Macaca mulatta: one gene and its partner. The protein of the gene in region 1 purifies or fractionates together with the protein of each later gene. This does not show direct contact. Links are inferred from orthologs where the notes say so. Each region holds a gene or a part of one and is shown in the gene's direction. Other genes may lie near its edges.

Region 1 (4,222 bases):
GGGGAGGGCTGCTCCAAAGTCCTCCTCGAAATTGGTGCCAACGGCAGCAGCTATAATGACAGCCAGTTCACATAGAAGTGCCTCTGTTGATCACCAATTAACAGTAAAATCTGATAATATCTCATTCCAAGGTTGTCATAAGCACTAAATGTGGTTTTGTGACATAATAGGCATTTGTTTCTCCCCATTGCTTCCCACCACAATATATTCATCAAGACTTTTCCAAGGATACTAAGTCTAGGAAACCCAGGATCATGAAGACAGGACATGCTCTTCCAAATGAGGCTGAGGAGAGACTTGTCTGGCGAGGCCTGTACTGACTAGTGACATTAAAAGAGGCGATCTGACTTCTCATACTGCGCTTGTCCCAGGCCCGCTGTTTGTCAACTGCTGGGTCCTCAGAGCCAAAACTGTTTTCCAACAGTTTTGAATTGAATAACAGCCAGTTATTCAATTTTCTCCACATTCTCTAATCGGTATACTCTTCAGAGTCCAAGGGACTTGCAACGATATTACCCAATGGCTGAAGAATGTGCGCTTGACATCTTAGGCTGTAAAATGTCTCAATTTCAATTTCTAAAACATAAATGTCAGTGGATGGCATTTTCTGAATCCCTTGTCGATGTCCGTAAATGGCATGCTCTGAATTCAACTAAACAAAAGTATGGGTTGGGGGGAGATGTAGGGGCATGTCCAAATTATAATTTTTAAGAGTGTAAAGGGGTCCTGAGAAAGATTGCCAGATTTTTTTTTTCTTGAGTTAGAGTCTCACTCTATCCCCCAGGCTGAAGTGCAATGGCATGATCTTGGCTCACTGCAGGCTCTACCTCCCGCACTCAAGAGATTCTTCTGCCGCAGCCTCCAGAGTAGCTGGGATTACCCCGGAGCCCGCCACTACTGAGCCTGGCTAACTTTTGTATTTTTAGTAGAGAAGGGGTTTCACCATGTTGGCCAGGCTGATTTCGAACTCCTGAGCTCAAGTAATCCGCCAGCCTTGGTCTCCCAAAGTGCTGGGATTGCAAGCGTGAGCCACCACGCCAGACCTGGATTGCCAGATTTAGCACATAAAAATACAGGACTCCCAGTTAAACTCCTCTCAGATAAACCATTATTGCATGAAATACACTCACGCTAAAAACAATTGTTCGTCGTTTACCTGAAAGTCACATTTCATTGGGCGTCCTGCATTTTACCCCGCAAATTCTAGGCCTGACACCAAAAAGTTTGAGAACCGCGCCCCTAGGCGACAGCAAGCGGAACTACCGCAAGCTCCCAGTAATTCCGGGTGCTGCACTTCCGGTCAGGCGGTCGGGCTGCGCGGCCCTGGGGCCAGCTCACCGCCGGAAGCCTCCGCGTCCCCGCCGGCCATATCCCGTTCCCGGTCCTGCTTCCCAGTGCCTCGGGCCTCCCGGGGCTGGTGCTGGGCGCCGAGCCGGCGGAACCGGCGGAACCCGCTTCCCGCCTCCACGCGGCAGCGCTAGCGGCCTAGTCCCTTCACGGGCAGCTCGGTGCTGTCGCCCTCACCGCTCTTCCTATCGCCGGGAGTGGTGGGCCGACCAGGGGGCGGCCGGGCTAGCGTCCGCCATTCCCGTGTCTCTGCGCCCGCGGGGGCCGCCCGAGCCGGCCACCATGCCGCTGGGCCTGAAGCCCACCTGCAGCGTATGCAAGACCACGTCGTCCTCCATGTGGAAGAAGGGCACGCAGGGGGAGATCCTCTGCCATCATTGCACTGGCCGGGGCGGCGCGGGCAGCGGGGGCGCAGGCTCGGGGGCGGCTGGAGGGACTGGGGGCAGCAGCGGCGGTGGCGGCGGCTTCGGCGCGGCGACCTTCGCCAGCACCTCCGCCACTCCTCCGCAGAGCAACGGGGGCGGGGGCGGCAAGCAGGTGAGCTCCTCCGGCCCCTCCCGCCGGCGGAGGCCGACCGGGCGCTAGGCGGCAGGGGCCGGGCGGGTTGGGAGCGGGCGGGCCCGGGCTTCCCGGCTCGCGTGGTCCTGCCGGCTGGAACGCCCCTCCCCACCTCCTACTGAGATCTTTGGTTTGACCCATTCCAAAGCACCTGTTATAAGAAATTCAAAGCAATAAGAACCAAAATGTAAAGCCCTTAAGAAAATCTCAATATGCACACGTCTACACAGTCGTAAACAGGGTCATGCCACAAGTGCAGGTGCTGGACCTCATTGCTTGTTAAAGGTTTTGTCATATCAGGTTATGAAGTAAGATTATTATGTCATTATTGTAAATGGCAGCTTAAGTATTCAGTTGTAGGAGGCGCCATAACCTAATACGTTATCTGGCCTTAGGGAGTAAAGTTGTTAAGTGTTTTTCTCTATTGTAGACACAACAAATGAATAGTGTTTGTCTTGGCCCAGACTGACTCTTACTTCCGCCTCCTGACCTATTACAAGCAGCTCACACCTTTTGGAGGCTCTGGAGACGCCTGTCCAGCGAGCTCCGAGATTCCGGTGCTGAACTTCCGGTTTTACTTAGCCCAGTTGCTGAAATTACCTCTGTTGAAAAGCAAAGGCGCACTCTTAATTGTTAAATACTCCTATAAAGTACATACTCTGGGATCCTTGTAAGATGATTGTATTGCAACCTTTATACACTTTTTACTTCTTTCTCTGTTCTTTAATTTGTTTGTGTAACAGAGTAAGCAGGAAATTCACAGGAGGTCTGCTCGGCTCAGAAACACTAAATACAAATCTGCTCCGGCTGCTGAGAAGAAAGTTTCCACCAAAGGAAAAGGGAGAAGACATATATTTAAATTGAAAAATGTAAGATATTTGTGGACAGTGCCTTTTACTGTAATGATGTTGTGTGTATCCTGCCACTGCCTTCATTTCCCGCCATTGAACTTGGACTCTGCCCTTGGTAGCCCTTCCTTAGTATTCTGGGGAGTGGTCCAGACTCCCCAAAAGGGAATGAGCTCTGTTGCAGGAGGCTCACTATTTTTAAAGGTAATAATACTCTTTCCTTTTTTTTTTTTTTTTTTTTAGCTTTTATTTTTTTCCCCTGGAAAATATAAAATATGAGTTTAAAAGAAACATCAGCCTTGAGCCCATTTTTTGGGGTTCTCTATGGAAAGGAAGAGGAGAGATTATGGTTCTTGATATGGCCAGGTACACTAAGAAAACTTTTTTTTCATTCTTTAAAAATTAAGTAAATATTAACACTAGAACTCATCATTTGCATATTTATTTATTATTAAAGCCCCAGAAAATGTATCTTATTGACTTATGATGATGATGTATTTGATGAATATGAGTCAAAAATTCTGCTAAGCCTTATCTCTTCTACTCTAAGAAAAGACATTGTTGAAAGACCTGTGCTGGAAATAATTGAAAGCATATTTTTATTGCAATTAAATTATCAGTTTTTATAAACAAGGGATAATGTTCAAACACAATGGACAGTGCATTATGGACTATTTTTTTAAGTCTCAGTATGGTATTCTTTTCTTTCAGAACAGGAATGTTTCACTTACCCGTAAAGACATTTTTGAAGTCGGGCATATTTATTTCTGAAACACAAAGGGACCCTGCAGTAGACTTATGCAGATGGCAGACTATTTTCTTTTTTTTTTTTTTTTTTAATTTAATTTAATTTAATTAATTTTTTAAAATTTTACTTTAAATTCTGGGATACATGTGCAGAACGTGCAGGTTTGTTACATAGGTATACATGTGCCATGGTGGTTTGCTGCACCTGTCAACCCATCATCTAGGTTTTAAGGCCCATGTGCATTAGATATTTGTCCTAATGCTCTCCCTCCCCTTGCCCCCCATCTCCGATGGGCCCCAGTGTGTGATGTTCCCTTCCCCAAAGTATTTTCTTTTTCAGAGTAGTTGCTTCTAATTTATTTAAGATTTTTATAATTTAGTTAAGCAAGGCATTTGTTGATTATGCAAAATATCTTATTGGTATTTGTATCACATATGCACATTTTTTTTCCTTTTAAGTATAGTATACCATGTTCTCAGCAATTAATTCATTATCGTTTGTCTGCAACCCTTTCTTCAATGTTACTAAGCAAGACACATCTGGGGAGGCCTACTTTCTATGTTGTGGCATAAAAGTATGTATTGAAGCTTTAGTAGGGATTTCAAAAATGGTTGGATGGTAGCAAATTACTAAGAACTGTCAAAGTTTCTAAAGCCTTAGTTCCAGCTTGCTAGAAAACCGACGTTGAGTATTATGGCTAAATAGTTGAGTTGGAAAATGT
Region 2 (4,075 bases), on another chromosome or scaffold:
TGACATCTCTACACATTAGTTTTCAATCTGTAAAATAGGACTGATAATATGGATGGTGTGTGAAAACATATACTGTGCATCATTTATTATTTTGCTTTACATTCTGTAGCACCCTCTAGTGGTGTATACAAAAATATGCATTGCATTTCTACTCTCCAAAGCAGTGGTTCTCAAACTTCAGTGTGTGCTGGAATCACTGGGATAGTTTGTAATAACACAGATTACCAAACCCCACCGTGAGAACTTCTGATTCATTAAGTTTGAGGTGGGACCTGAGAATGTGAATTTCTGACAATTTTTCAGGTGATGCTGATGTTTCTGGTACATCCAGGAAACACATCTTGTGAACCACTGCTCTAAAAAAATCCCTCTTGTGTACAAGTATATAAGATAGATAATTGAAAGGGGTATGATTTTTGTTGTTTGACTTTGATCTAGTACTGCTCATCTAATAAGGACTTGGTGATAAATTAAAAAAAAAATCGACATGAAGGATATAACACAGCATCTAAAATATAGAAAGCATACAAAAAACTGAGGATCACAGAACATAAATCATTTGCCCAGGGTACTGAGACTAGTAAGTGGTGGAATGAGGTTAACAATTAAGTCTCTTTCTCTTACTCCAAAGACACAATAAAGTCTATCAATACCACTACAGAAAATAGGGTGCAAACACACATATCTGATACAAATTTCAAGAGAAAAGGAAAATCAGTTTTCAATACCAGGGTCCAAGTTTTACTGATGAGTTCTTATCTCTTTACTAAAGTAACAGCTATCTGTATTTTCAGTTTGGGTGAGTTGCGAGCATTTGAAAAGGTGAGGAAAAAGGGTTAGGATCTTCAGCATCAGTGCTTGGGTCATTCATTAACTCTTTGATTAAACAAGGCAAGGACAAAAGAAGCGAGGGATGGAGAGGGGCCTTCCCCCCCGCCCCCCCACCCAAGGAGAAAAGGAAAGAAATGAGTAAAATTATTTGGATCTTGGGTCACAGTTCCCTGACTACTAGTGCTATTCACAGAAGCTGATTTTATTTTTTCCTAGGAATGAACGATATCAATGATGCCTTAGATATTAGCGTTCAGCAAATCAAGAAAGGGGAGGGGGGAGGGAAACAAAATCCCAGAATCCCAGGGACCACACAGCCAATCCTTTGCTGGGATTTGGCGGCATCTAGTGGCGAACTCGAGAGGTATAAACCTTACCCACAGAACTTTCTGGAAAATTAACAGTGCGTATTTGCCTGAAGAAGGTCAGTGTGCTTGCTTGGAGATCAGGACGCAAAGGTAAGAGCGCCCTAGTCACCATAAAAATCCGGAGTCTCTAACGGAGGGGAAGGCTGTCATAGATAGATATTCTCATAGGAAAATTGTATTTGTGCCAAGAGAACTGCACGCAACCTTGAAGGGAGGGGGGAGGTGTGGAAGAGGGGAGGGAGGAGGATACTAGACAACTTGAAAGAAGTCTCCCTTTGGAGTTGCTAATGTGACGATGGAAGGCTTTGGCTCTGAATCATTGGAGGGCTGTGGTTTACGACCGGATTTTGGCACAGAGGAGTATTTAAATCAGGGAAAGCCAAAATATTTCTGACAGTGCCCCTTTATCTCTGTTATTGTCGCCTTGCCTTAATTATTTATTTTCATTTTCATTAGAACATTTTCAAACAAAATACAGAAATAGATAACCTGCGCGCAGTAGCTAACCCCTCCCCGCAACTCCCACCCCAATCACGCACGCGGGCGCGCGCCGTGGCTCTCACCAGTCCAGACGCCAGGGGCGCACGCCTGCGCAAACACATCACCTCCAGCGCCACGAGGGCCGCTCACACAGCAACCCCAGGGGCACTCGAGCCTGCCCGCGCACTAACACACTGGCCTTAATGCCTTGCGCCCGTTGCACTCACGACCCTAACTCGCAAACACAGCAGAACCCCCCACTGCGCCTTTTTTTTCCATGTTCGGGGAGTTGCGCCACAGGCCTGGGGGCGTGGCTCCAGATTTGACCTCGCGCTTCCCCACTCGCGGGAACCTTAGCTCATTTCCGCCTATTTCCGCAGGCCACGTAGACACTTCCTCTCCCAGTGGGGGGCTGGGGGGAAACACAAACCCATAATGCCTCCCTGCAGGAAAAAAATTAAAAAAAAAAAAAAAAGGAAAAGGAAAAAAAAAAAAACCTTCTGGTCAGAGGAACTCTGGGTCGTGAAATAGGCCACGTGAACATTCTGCCCTATAGACTTATGACCCAACGGCTGTCACGCTTTTGGAGGGCGGGCTAAAAACCTAAGAGGGCGAACGTCATTGGCCGGAACTCGCACTGACGGAGGAAGAGGATTGGTTTGCTGTAGGCCTTAACAGTGAAGAAGCAGGTTGCTAGCACCCGCCTTTACTGCGGCGAAGTGTCATTGCTGACGTGGGGGTGGTTGTCCAATCATTTGGTTATGGAACATTCTAAAACTTAGACAAGACGATTGTGATTGGCTGAAGGGCATACGCCCTCCTCCAGGGTGACGTGTCTGCCTATGGATATCAGTTGCCAGAGAAACCTGGCTTTACTATGGCGGTTGGAGGAACGGCAGTGATCACACGTCGTCTGCTGGGAAGATCTGGATTCTCGTTTCAGGTTTCGGGGTGGGGGTGGGGAGAAAGGGTCGATGATTTCCTCTTTTCGTCGGGTATAGACGGGATTAGCTAGTTCCTTCACAATCGGTCAGAGCTGGATTCAGATTCCTGCTCGCCAACGCCCAGCTTGGGCAAGGCTCCTGTTCTTTCTGTGTCTCGGTTTCCATGTTTGTAAAATGGTGATAATAATAGTATCTACCTCAGAGACGTGTACTGTATAATGGTGCGTATAAGGCACGTAATATGAAGCCTGGCCCCTGAAGATATTAGCTATTGTTATGGAGATAAATAATACACGTAATAGAATGAGAAAAATTATAAATTATATAAATTCGCTAATTGTAGTGCCCTTTCTGCCATCAACTTCTTTCCTAGAATAAATTAAAGATAAAAGAGATATATCAATTTTTACCAATGAAATAATTTGCTCTTTGGGAATTGCCTCAAAATTGCAGAGATTGTAATTTTCCCATGTTGAAAAGTTAAATAAAAGGTGGGGGGGTGGAGTGCGAGAAAGAAAGAGATGGAGAACGAGAGCGAGCTGGAGATGAACCACATGCGATGAGTAGGCCTTGTTTGGATCCTGAATCGAACACACCAACTGTAAAAATATGTTTAAGACGCATCGGGAAAATTGGAACATGGATTCGATATTTGATGTTTTTTAAGGAATTGATGTCAATTTTTTTAGGCGTCACAGTAGTATTGTGATTATGTTTTCAAATTGTCCTTTTTTGTAGAGACATATACGAAAATATTTACGGATTAAATAATATAATGTCTGGGATTGGCTTCTAAATACATTAATGACTAGGATTTGCTTCAAAATAATCTAAGCGGTAGGGGGAAATGGGGAGGGGTATAGATGAAACAAAATTGACCCTAAATTAATAATAGTTTTTGCTGAGTGATAGGCAGTGGGTTCCGTATATTAATCTGCTTTCCTTGGTATACGTTTAAATTTTTGTATAATAAAATACAGAAGTCAGATATTCCCGTGAGCTTGAAAAAGTCGGGGGTGGGGGGGAGCAGTGGGTGGGGTTATAGATGAAACAAGATGGCCTTCAGTTGGTAATTGTTGAAAGCTGGATGATGGATTCGTGTAGGTTTGTAATACTATTCTTTTATTTCATCCATTTGAAATTATCTTTAAGGAAAAGTTAAAAAAATTGTCAGAAATTATATAAATATACAATAAGTTAAATTTGAAAATGTAGCCACAAGAAAGGAAAAAGAAATACTTGTACATTATTTATCAGCTTTGGTGTCCTTTGTGTGTGATGAAATTGCATTGGCTGATGTAGAAGAAAGCCATATCTCATATCTTTTTATTTTATGTCCTTTCCTGTCCTTTTGTTTGACCTTCTAGGTCACCATCAGAAAAGCTAAGTTTGCTGTATAGTGAGGATCAGGAGGTCTGATCCTGATTGCAGAACCTTCCCTGATTACAGAAT

Evidence for each region. The genes of interacting proteins can lie anywhere in the genome.
Region 2: the proteins of GATAD1 (region 1) and MORF4L2 purify together in Homo sapiens (affinity purification with mass spectrometry; 4 studies listed by BioGRID and IntAct, with this or other methods). This does not show direct contact. The link is inferred for Macaca mulatta from reciprocal best matches to the Homo sapiens genes GATAD1 and MORF4L2.

The regions. Positions count from the first base shown.
Region 1 is NC_133408.1:126,936,028-126,940,249, reverse strand, and holds the start of GATAD1 (GATA zinc finger domain-containing protein 1), read left to right. Parts: upstream 1-1,359; 5' UTR 1,360-1,629; coding exon 1,630-1,884; intron 1,885-2,648; coding exon 2,649-2,774; intron 2,775-4,222. UniProt on the Homo sapiens protein: Component of some chromatin complex recruited to chromatin sites methylated 'Lys-4' of histone H3 (H3K4me), with a preference for trimethylated form (H3K4me3).
Region 2 is NC_133426.1:110,318,649-110,322,723, reverse strand, and holds the start of MORF4L2 (mortality factor 4-like protein 2), read left to right. Parts: upstream 1-1,224; 5' UTR 1,225-1,289; intron 1,290-2,553; exon of another isoform or gene 2,554-2,630; intron 2,631-3,990; 5' UTR 3,991-4,075. UniProt on the Homo sapiens protein: Component of the NuA4 histone acetyltransferase complex which is involved in transcriptional activation of select genes principally by acetylation of nucleosomal histone H4 and H2A.